3 linked regions of the Rattus norvegicus genome follow. The protein of the gene in region 2 purifies or fractionates together with the protein of the main gene of each other region. This does not show direct contact. Links are inferred from orthologs where the notes say so. Each region holds a gene or a part of one and is shown on either strand. Other genes may lie near its edges.

What was found. Proteins that work in one complex are often made in the same cells at the same time.
Region 1: the proteins of Snrpd1 (region 2) and Sf3b3 fractionate together in Homo sapiens (co-fractionation; 4 studies listed by BioGRID and IntAct, with this or other methods). This does not show direct contact. The link is inferred for Rattus norvegicus from reciprocal best matches to the Homo sapiens genes SNRPD1 and SF3B3.
Region 3: the proteins of Snrpd1 (region 2) and Sf3a1 fractionate together in Homo sapiens (co-fractionation; 4 studies listed by BioGRID and IntAct, with this or other methods). This does not show direct contact. The link is inferred for Rattus norvegicus from reciprocal best matches to the Homo sapiens genes SNRPD1 and SF3A1.

What each region holds. Positions count from the first base shown.
Region 1 is NC_086037.1:55,719,611-55,723,124, forward strand, and holds part of Sf3b3 (splicing factor 3B subunit 3), read right to left. Parts: intron 3,317-3,514; coding exon 3,204-3,316; intron 2,338-3,203; exon of another isoform or gene 2,249-2,337; intron 2,059-2,248; coding exon 1,921-2,058; intron 1,125-1,920; coding exon 1,021-1,124; intron 1-1,020. UniProt on the Homo sapiens protein: Component of the 17S U2 SnRNP complex of the spliceosome, a large ribonucleoprotein complex that removes introns from transcribed pre-mRNAs.
Region 2 is NC_086036.1:1,972,665-1,976,178, reverse strand, and holds part of Snrpd1 (small nuclear ribonucleoprotein Sm D1), read right to left. Parts: intron 469-3,514; coding exon 277-468; intron 1-276. UniProt on the Homo sapiens protein: Plays a role in pre-mRNA splicing as a core component of the spliceosomal U1, U2, U4 and U5 small nuclear ribonucleoproteins (snRNPs), the building blocks of the spliceosome.
Region 3 is NC_086032.1:83,253,539-83,257,823, reverse strand, and holds the start of Sf3a1 (splicing factor 3A subunit 1), read right to left. Parts: upstream 2,812-4,285; 5' UTR 2,722-2,811; coding exon 2,659-2,721; intron 2,137-2,658; coding exon 2,015-2,136; intron 1-2,014. Other genes in the region: Ccdc157 (coiled-coil domain-containing protein 157), read left to right, coding at 2,812-3,048. UniProt on the Homo sapiens protein: Component of the 17S U2 SnRNP complex of the spliceosome, a large ribonucleoprotein complex that removes introns from transcribed pre-mRNAs.

The sequences.
Region 1 (3,514 bases), on a different chromosome or scaffold from region 2:
GAATTGTGGATACTGGTCTTAAACTGCTCATTAGAGTTCAGATTTCTTCTGTATGGCAATGAAAATCCATCAAAGTTTGTTAATACTGAGATACAGGAAATAATGTCACTAACATAATAACTACATTATCAATAAGGTAATGTCCCATCTTGTTAAGTTTGACTCTTTATAAAGACTGGATTTTGCAGGAAAGCAAAGCAAATTAAATTTAGACTGGAAACAGTGTAGTAAGAAAAACTAGAACTTGTACACTTGACTAAAAGGAGTAGAGGAAAAATAAACTCAGACTCCACAAGTCACTAGAAGAGGCCCATTAAACAAAAATATTGAGCAAGGCACACTGGCGATACAGGCAGGCAATGTGGATACGAAGAAACTTCAACTGTAGGTCTGTACAAGAGAGCACATGTAGAAAAAAATCTCTCTGGCTTTACTTTTCGTTAGAAAATCACCTCACTATGCAGCCCAAGCTGGTCCCATACTTGAGATCTTCCTGCCTCAGCCCATACTTACAGACATTCAGGATAGTAATGGAATTCACTACAGTAAAGGAAGCTAACAATGAAAATTAACACAAAAACGGGGTTGGAGGAAGGACTTGGGGTGGTATTTTAAAAGCACTTGCTGCTCTTGCTGAGGACCTGAGTTTGGTTCCCAGCATCCCTACCTTGACAGCTCACAAACACTGGAACTCCAGTTCTAGATGCCTCGCCTGACCTTCTACATATATGTGGGGCATGTACATGCACTCAGTATACATACATAGAAAATGTAATTTTAAACAACTCTAAAAACCCACAAAAAAGATAATGCAGTAGAAGAAAAGGGATAGGGAGAATGAATAAAAAGGGAAAACGAGAGCAACACTTCTGAAAAACCTCAACTATTCTATGAAAAGGTCCCCAACACCTCCTGTCTGCTAACTTTTACTATGTGTGGTAACCTAGGGGTTATAGTGGTAAGCTAAAATAAATAAATAAATGAATGAATAAATAAACAAATAAAAAAAGGATTACTTACTGATTTCCAAATTCTGATGCCACAAAAAGGAAGCCTGTTTTAAGCACACACATAGCAGCAGCAACAGGAACAGTATCAAAATACTTGAGGCGGATCTCAGTTACCTGGAACAGAAGGACGGTGTATAGGCAGGTGCAGCTTAGCCACAGAAGCCTGCTCTGTGCACCACAAGTGAACAAAGGACAGTGCAGCCAGCCTGAGGGGTTAAACATAGCTACTGCTTTTTCTGCTTCAATGTCAGTTACTTTGGACTGAGAATACACAGCAGAGAAAAACTAAACATCTTAAGTGGCTTTACAAGGTCAGATACTTGTTAGCCAGAATGAGAAAACCCAAATTCAAATTCAAACCAAAAGGTAACCACTTTCTAATGTATCTAAATTTCTAAATTTTTCCCTCTTTTACTCAAAGTAGATTCTGGTCTCACACCATACATCCCAACCAGTTTCCCCTCCTTCACTTCTCCCGGCTTTTCCCAGCCCATCTCCCCCAGATTCACCCCCCTCCAGTTCCTCTTCTGAAAAGGAAGACCTCCTTCTGACTTGTTGAGAATCAGTTGCACTTGCTCCCTATCTTGGTGCAGGGAAAAGTTATGAAGTATAGATGTTAAGCAGCTTTGAGAGCCAGGTAGTGGTGGCACACACTTTAACCCCAGCACTCAAGAGGCAGGGACAAGCACATTCTGAGTTCTAAGTGAGCCTAGTCTACAGAGCTATGACTGGCAAGGCAAATCCCATCTCAAAAAAGCAAAAACAGTAACAAAAAAAGTAAAACAGCTTTGTAAATCTTACATGCACAAACAGCAGGTACTTTAGACAAAGGTTTTAAATTATATTCAAATTAAAAATCAAGATAGACTACAGCAAATAGATACTCCCCCTCCATCCATGTTCTATTTACCATATCTTCATCTGTCTCCAAAGTGATCTTAAAGATATCTCCCTGCTCCGTTTGGGCCAAAAAGAAGAACATGGACTTGGTCTTATGGGTGGCAGAGCAAACAAAAATCATTCCTCTTTCAGGGTCATCCAGGTCATTCTGGCAAAACCAGAAACAGAGCCAACATCTTAGAAATAAGCAACTCAGTATTCTGGAATTCATCTTTTACAAAAAGGAACTCTACAGACTACTCAAGGACTAAGATGCAAACATTGCCCACCATAGCTGTTAACAACTAAAGCTTGCCCACCCCACCCCGTGACCAAGAAACTGCTAATATTCCACTCTGCAGCCTCATCAGATCAGCAAGGCAAAAATCATCTCCAGAGGAGAATGTCAGAGAAGAGACACGAATTAAATAGTCATCATTTCAGGCTGGACATAATAATTTAAAAACAAAAAGCACACTCATCCACACTGCCATGGAAACCATCCATCACCACCAGCCTGTGTAGTACCAAGTTCCCACTCCCCTACAAATAAGTCTAGTGCTTGGAGTTGTTAAATGTTTTCAAGATTTTAAAAAATATTTCTGCATACAAACTCATAAGTTTTATACCTTTTCACTGCTCCCAAACGAATACAAATTCCTGGCTTAGGAAATGTCTGATCAACAGGCCGATTTCAATGTTTTTTCACAAGATTAAATTTTATCGCTTAACCTATAAGGTTTGACCCAGAACCAATATTAAAAATATGTAAGTTGAGGGAGGAAAAATGTAAGAACTGACTCAGTAATAAGACTGGTACTGTATCCACATAATGAACAGACCAGAAAGGGAAGAATATTTACGATCTATAAAAAAAAAAAAATCCTAAGTCTGTACCCGCACAATGACATGACCTTAATAAAGTGATAACTTGCTTAATATGTAGAGTGCACAAAGCCCTGCACTCCAAAGTATTAATTAATAATTTCCCCTTTAAAACATACCCAGTTTTAGAAAAGCAACTTATCTTTTTACATAACCAAAACATGGCAACAGACAAATTTAAGAGACTAAGCTGGTGAGATGGTGCAGCAGGTAGTACGCTTGTCAACCTGAGTTCAAACGGAGTCCCTCATGATGGAAGGACAAACTGACTCCTGCAGCTTCTCCTCCGACCTCCATACACGAACCATGGCATACATGCACACAGAGTAATAAATAGAAGAGAGAGGAAGATACTATGGTGGATCATTAAGAGCAAACAAACAAGCTAATTCATTCCCTAGTCAGCTGTTGCTCTATGGTAGACTTTACCCGTCTCCTGGGAATTGGACATCGGATGTCTGGCTGGTCACCAAAGTTCTTGTAGGTGATATAATTCTCAGAGCAGATCAGCACTCCACTTGGACCATCTGACCCTCCAGGAACTGTGAGAGGGAAAAAGCTTAAATATTTTGCACTGCTTTGATTGTCAACTGTTCTCCTTCCCACCAATGATGCTAAAACCAAGTGCTTCTTTTGATGTCCGCCTCTAATCAAGTACTTGGAAAGCAGGGGCAAGAGGGTCAAAAGTCAAATGGTCTTCAGTTACAAAGTGAGTTTGAGGCTGGTCTGAGAGATCCTGT
Region 2 (3,514 bases):
TCACAATGAATTTACAAGTATTTATCAAGCATCTAAACAAGTGGTAGAGGGAGAGGACAGGGAAGCCATGCAGCCAGCCCCCAAATCTAGACTCCATGGAAGAAAAGAACAGCAGAGAGGACTGGAGGGCTGGCTCTTCTCCACAGCAGCACCAGGAGCTCTGCGTAGCACATGTACTAAGACAAGCACACGATGTTCTGAGCGACAAGAGTACCATTGTTCACAAACATACTTTGAACAGTGAGTCACACTATATATAAACACCTTTACACTTACCAGCCTCTCTTTTCTTAGACTTCACTTTAGGTTCGACATCCACAAGTAGTGTATCTAGAGGTAAACTGTCTGGTAGAATAAAATACCGAATGTTATTGCCTCGAATACTCAATGTTTCCAACTGTACAGGCTCTCTGTTCTTCAGGGTCATTTTCACAGCTTTAAGGTGCGTATTCATGCTGACATCTACACCTAAAGGGGGGAAGCAGAACAATTACCAGCATGATAAGAAGGCAATCTACCTTGTGGAAATAACACCCTAGGGAGTTCTTTTTTTTTTTTTTTTGGTTCTTTTTTTCGGAGCTGGGGACCGAACCCAGGGCCTTGCACTTCCTAGGTAAGCGCTCTACCACTGAGCTAAATCCCCAGCCCCCACCCTAGGGAGTTCTTAACTGCTGTGTCACAGGTCAGTTCCTGTGACAACTGAATACACGCACAATGGGGGAAATGCCAAATACACGCACAGTGGGGGAAATGTCAAAAGAAATCAGTAATGTTCCCTTCACAACGACTTTTCCTAGCCATAATGCTTCTGTACAGAGCTGAGTGCACGTACAGAACTGAACGCACTGGTGGTGTGATTAAGTGACTCCTGTAATCTCATCATTCAAGAGGCTGAGGCACAAGGAATGCACGTGTTCAAGGAAAGCCTGGACAACAAAGAAAGAACCTATGTGCAGACAAAGGAGACGAGCTCAGCAAGCTATGAAGAGCCATGAGCCCACTACCTTCAGAACTCAATTCTTATCCCAGGATTGGATAGTGTTTGCAGTAAAATCCTCCCATTGTCCCCATAACTTCCTACCCTCTAGCATGCCACAGGTCTTTCTTCTTAAAGACCTATGGTATTTTTCCCATCACAGGTAATTTTCCCTATCACTAGGAACTCTTCCCCCACTTTCCTGAGACAAAGTCTATGTGCCCCAGCTGGTCTCATACTTGTAATTCTCCTGCCCAAGTCTCTCAAGTGCTTGCTCTACAGGTACTCACCATCATACGCAACTTAACACACCTATTTAGTTACTTACAATGACTTTTCAGGGGCCAGAGACACGACTCAATGGTAAGTGTGCAAGGCTCTTACAGAGAACCAAGTTTCTCTTGGAACTTGGAATCAGGAGGCTCAGAACTAATTGCCCGTAACTCCAGCTCCAGAGAGACCCAGTACCTCTGGCCTCCAAGGCCCCTGCACTCACATACATACAGAGTTCTAAAACAGTCTTAGGACAATGTATTAGTATGAGTATGGTTATATGGGAAGGCAAGTGTCTGTGCGCTATGGTGCACGTCTAGAGATCAGGAACCACAACAATCAGTGTGTGCTATGGTGCTATGGTCTAGAGATCAGGAACCACAAGATCAGTCCACTCTTTCGTCTGTGTAGATCCTGAGGCATGGACTTGGCTGTCAGGCTCGGCAGCAGATGCCTGTACCAAACAGCTGAGCTGACACTCCCCCTATCTTGTTTTCTGAGACGGAGTCTCTCAGAACTTGAATTACAGGACTAGAAGTACCCAGCTTTGGGGAGCTGGGGTCTGAACTCAGGCTCTCAAGCTTGTATAGTGAGCACTTCCCAACTAGATCATTTGTCTGGGTCCTTGTTATGTCTTTCTAAGTGGAAAGGATTTGTTTTTGTGGTGCCATGGACTGAATCCAGGACCTCAAGCATTCTAGGCAACTGCTCTATCACCTTGTAATACGCCCTTAACTGAGCCTGTCTGTATATTTGTTTTTTTCTGTTAGACAGGCTGTTACTATGTAGACCAGAGTTGCCTCAAACTAAGGGTTCCGCTCCAGCCTTCTAAGTATTGGCATTACAAGTATGAGCCAATGCCAGGCTCACCTTACTGCTCTTTTCTCTAAAAATTCACTACTACAAATCCTTTCTTTGCTAGGCAGGAGTGAAGCAGCAGAGGTAGGTCAATCTTACCGAGTCAAGGCCATCCTGCTCTACAAACCATGTTCCAGGACAAACAGCTATACTGAAAATCTGTAACAAACAAACAGAACCCCCCCCCCAAAAAAAAACACCCAATAACAAATGCTTTCTTCTTTTTCTCCGAAGAAGGAAGTTCTCTTCTTTCCTAGATAGTCTTAATACATTCCATCTCCTCTATATGCTTATGTGTATACATTCATATAAGATACAGAAACGTATGTTAGTGGTTTGTTTTGCTTTTGTATTACAGTTTTCATTGTTAGATTTTGACAAGAAAAGGGGGGGGCGCAAACATGCCACTCTGGGGTTCGGGAATATAGCTCAGCTGGTAGTATACTTTCTTAGCATACATGAAGCCCTGGTTCCAATCCCTATTACTAAATAAAGAGGTGTGGTGGGCATGTCTGTAATACCAGCAGCCAAGAGCTAGAGGCACAAAACCAGAAGGCATCTTCAAATATACACAGTGAGTTTGAGGTACATTCTAGAATACATAAACCCTACATCTAAATAAGGAGAACGAGGGAGGAGGAGGAGGAAGAAAGAGGAGGAGAGGACAAGATCTTTCCCAATGCTGTTCTACAGAAAACAGACCAAATCCATCCTCAAGAAACTTTAAGGAGGGCAGCAACTGTATACGTCCTTAGATATGCAGACTGCGCACATCTAGAAACATAAACAGGCAGCTCCATTCACAATTAGCATTGAAAACTCCTAGAAAAGCCACAAAATGCCATCCCATTTTCTCCTGGTTTACTAAAACATTGGACCTACCTATTAAAAACTTAGACATCTACAAGCTCAGTATTTTAGAGAATAGAAACACATGTTAAGATACTATTTTTCCCCCTTCAATAACCACTTAAAAGAAAGTTTTAGGAGAAAATAATAAAGGATGAACAATGATAAAAATCAGTTCATATACACAGAAATACCATAGTAAAATATCATATATAATTAACATAGGCCAACAACAACTTACAGTCAAACATGAAACACAAAAGCACAAGTCTCAGATGTGTTTTGGAGGAAGCAACATTCTATGCAGAACACATGCAAGCAAAAGGTACACAAGGCAAGAAAACAGGAGCAGCACCAGCAATTTGGTTTAGTTGTAGTGCAAGAATGTAAGAGGAGGGGGTTGGGGATTTAGCTCAGTGTTAGAGCGCTTGCCTAGCAAGCGCAAGGCCCTGGGTTCAGTCCCCAGCTCCGAGAAAAAAAAAAAAAAAAAAAAAGAATGTAAGAGGAGTCAGGCTGGAGAGAGGGCTCAGCAGGTAAGAGCACTGGCTGCTCTTCCAA
Region 3 (4,285 bases), on a different chromosome or scaffold from region 2:
TGACTCTGTGTGCACGAGTGCATATTAAAGGGCATGCATGCAGGTATTCAGACTCTGTAGCTGTGAGTTACCTGACATGGGTCCTGGGAGCCAAACTCAGGTCCTATGTAGGAGCAGAAAGTGGTCTTAACTTCTGAGCCACTTCTCCAGCTCCCATTTCCCTTCATTAAAATAGAGCCCACCATGTAGCCAGGCTAGTCTCTCTAACATTCCTTGCTAGCACCAAGATTACAGGTATGTATCACTATGTCCAGTAACAAGTATTTATTTTTAAGAGAACTTGGTCAGTCTTTTTTTTTTTTTTTTTGCTGTGGAGGCAAAGGATGACACAATTATCAGAAAGCTACTTGGGAAACTGAGATGTTTCTAAGTGCACACTTATGTGCACCCATACCCAGAGGCCAGATACTCATGTCCATTGTCTTCCCCAATCACTTCCTGCCTTATTTAGATTTATCTACCTATTTATTTTAGATAGGGTCCATGCATCCCTGGCTCATCAGAATGCTGTGTAGACTAGGGTGGCCCGAAACGCACAGAGATCAACCTGCTCCTGCCTTCAGAATACATGAATACACTGGCCCCACCTTAGTTAATATGAAGCACAGCAATTTGCTGGCCACTGAGCTCCAGGAATCTGTCAGTCTCTATTCTCCAGTACTGAGGTTACCAGATGTAACCATTGCTCAATCTTGCTTTAACATGGGTATCTGTGGGTTATACACCATGGGATCCAAACTCAAGCTCTTGTTTACTCTTGTGACAGGAACTTGAATGAACTAAGCTGTCTCCCCAACCCCTGAAGCTTTCCATGTTCTCCTAATCACTATTGTTTCAGTTTTCTTCTAAAGAAACTATCTAAGAGGGAAAGGTAATGTTCAAACTCCTCGTACAGCTTCACTGACCAAGTGGAAACACTGGAAACAGTCTCAAAGAGAAGACAGCCTGGACACCCTGCACCCTCGCCATAGAAAGCATACAGCAGGAGGAAAAGGTAATTAGGAAATGTTTACAGTTTAGCATGCAAAGAGAATGGGGACATGACAGTACTTGTGTTATTACCGTATTTAAAAACGGGTGCCAAGGGCAAAGGACTAATGAACGGTGAACGGTGACAACAGCGGGCAGGAGTTGCCCTCACAGTAAGACTGCACTTATTCCTTATGCATTATTATTAGGAAAAGGGTTGCTGTGAAATACTAGCCAATCACACACAACACTCAATGCCCTATCTTAGGGCATCTTTTAAGTGAAAATCCAAGGTAATTAAAGCCTGTCCAGTGATGGGAAAATATATCAATCGGAATCTTTATTAGAGAGGTGCTTCACTTTATTAGGAAGTTTGGAACCAAACATTGCAGTCTGGTTCAAGAAAAGACAGAAATCCAGACTGCTGGTGAGATCACCTCATTTTTAAGTGTGGCAATAGGATTTTTCTTTTTTAAGGATTCTAAGGACAAACCAAACTCTGCAGACTGGATATCGATGCTGGTTGCCAAAAGAATACTCTCTCTCTATAAATGCCCTAAGTCAGGGGACGTGTTGACCGTTGGGAGTCAAGTGGTCCTCAGAAAATAGCATCCAAGGATGTAGAAGTGTGTGGGATGAAGAGGCTGAGAGAAATCCTGACCAGTTTTAACAGCTTGCTCTTAGCTCATCTGTAACCGATCATTTGAGTCTCTGTGGAAAGTAGCCCTTTCACAATGAGAAAAATCAACTCATTTCCTCAGGCCAGCAGCTCAAACACACAGCATACACACAGTATCAGTCACAAAGGTGCTACCAGGAATTCCTCAGATTTGTTTTGGAAGCAGAAATATACAGCTAGATGGGGCTTTCACTGTGATTACTATCATGGTATGTCAATGATACCAGTCCTGTCTATCGCCTACCTCACTGCTCTACTGTGGTTTTGGAAGCCTAAGCTAGAGCCTCTAAAACACCCCATGGTGCCCGATTCAAAAGCCCTTTATACTACAATTCCCCTGACCCACTGTGCAGCAGCAGCTGTTACCTGGCCACAAAACTGGCGGTCTTGTCGACGATATTCCTGACCTCTGGAGGAGGGTAAATAATCCCCACCACTGGCTTGGAAGGGGTGGAATCCTCCTTTGATGATGCTTCTTCTTCATTTGGCTGTGAAAACAGAAAAAGGGAGTAAGGTCTTCAAGTCCCTGGCTTGGATTAGGAGATCATAAAAACTACACCAGCCCTCAGCGTTTCTCCATGATACCACTGACAGGACTGTGTCCTGCAGACTGCAGACTCTCTTGGGTTAGCATCCAAGAAGCTAGCATTGGGAAGCAGTTAAAAACAAAGCAAGCTTTCTTAACCATACGGTATTTATACAACCATTCCTAATCTAGGGAAAAGAATGGCTTTCTTGGCTCTCCTCCTTAGAATGGAGGTTTCGTGGTTCAAATAAGCCCCCAGGGGAAGCCGAGGCTCAAGTCCGCAGGCTAGTTTTGAAAAGTCCGGTTTAGGGAAATCTTTTTGAGACCAGAAGGCAACGCGGCGCGCTGACTCCTGGGACTTGCAGTCCCACCAAGTCCTTCAGGGTGGCCTGTGCTTCCAGCAGAAGTGCCACAGCGCCCGCGCGGGAGTGGAGGAACGAGGCCTACAACAGGACTGCAGGCGGAGGAGCACGGGGCACGGTACCTGTTTGGGCTCAGTGACTACTGGCGGCGGCGGGGGTACCGCCTGCACGGGTCCGGCCTGCATGACTGCGACGCTCAGGGCTGCCAGTCCGCCTCGGTGTGGACAACCGGTACGGCGACAAGGTTAAGCTCACCACACGAAGTCTCCAACTCAATGGCAAGATGGCGACGACCCAGAGAAAAGCCGCGGAGGCACTTCCGGCCCCGCCCCCTCGCCGTGTCTCACTTCCAGCCCCGCCCCGCGTGCACGATGGCACGGTACGCCGTTGCTATGGCAGCGTCCTGGGCGCCCTGCTTTAGAGTTTCGAGGGATCCCTGGAGCCGCAGGCGCTCCGGAGGAAGTTCTGTGAGCTTGCCAGACACAGAGCTGAGGCTGCGACGCCGGAGACAGGTAAGCCATTCTACATCATTTGCTGAACTCCCCTCCCGACCCTGGCCGGTTCCTCTGTAACCCCAGCAACCCCCCTAACCCCTACACCCCGAACCCCTGCCTTCGTTTTGTTTTCTGTTTGGCCTGTCATTTTGAAGAATTCTTCTCCCATTAGACCCGTTGCCATAAAGCCCCACTTAACTACACCTTTAGACCTGTTTTTCGGTTCAGCATTACCTCCTCCTGATACCTCCTTGCAGAGCCCAGGACATGGTGCTAACATTTTTTAGTCTCAGGAGACAAAGCTATACAGATCTCTGAGTTCAAGGTCAATCTACTGAGCAAATTGCAGGACAGTCAAGGGTAGGCAGTGAGGGAGTTGAAAAACAGAAAGCTGGTAATAGAATAAAGGGCGGCCAGCCCCAGCAGGCAGCAGAATTCAACAGCTTTACCACATGGCCTTAACTTTAGAGTCAAGAATAGAAGGGGTTACTGGGACAATTGATGCTTCTTATCTGGAGCTAAGAAATTAGTAGGGATTAAGAAGAGACCAGAATCACTGAGGTGAAATCTTCTGGGAAGTGTTTTCTGAGAGCACAAAGAAGCTGTACTTAATAATGTGTAAGAGTCATCCAGGGTACTACTGGTTTTGAAGACGTGAAGGGGTCATGAAGAGCAGCTGAGGCTTGGCACTGTGAGAGCCAAGGAAGGCCATTGGTGAAGATGCAGTTACAGTTGATGGCCCAGGACTGAGGAAGTCATCCAAAGTAGTTGAGGCTTGAGACCATGAGGAGAGCCTATGAGAGGCTATTGGTGAAGCCTAGTTGCTATGGAAGACTCCAGTATATTGGAGATGCCAGTACCATGGGCTGGTCACCAGGAACAGCAGCAGCAGGGGAGTGGAGTCAACCAGAGCCTAGAGTGCTACGGAGGGCAGAGCTGGAGAGGTGACCCGAGCCCTTTGGAGGAGCCCAGAAGATGTTCTGTGGACCCCATACATTGGAATAAGAAGCTGTAAAGTTGAAGTTGCCTTGGAGACCCCAAGCTGTTAGAGATGCCAGAGTCCTTTTCTCAGTTACCTGCTGAGAAAAGCTGCTAACAGTGGAACCAGCCCAAGAGAATGAAGTGTGCTGCCATTGAGGGCCACATGGGCCAACAGCACTCAACAAGGGTGAAAGGAGCTAGAGATCTGAAGGATGCTCTGGCATTGGACCTGGAGACATGGGTTTTGGAGTTTGCCCAACTGGTTTTCTATCTT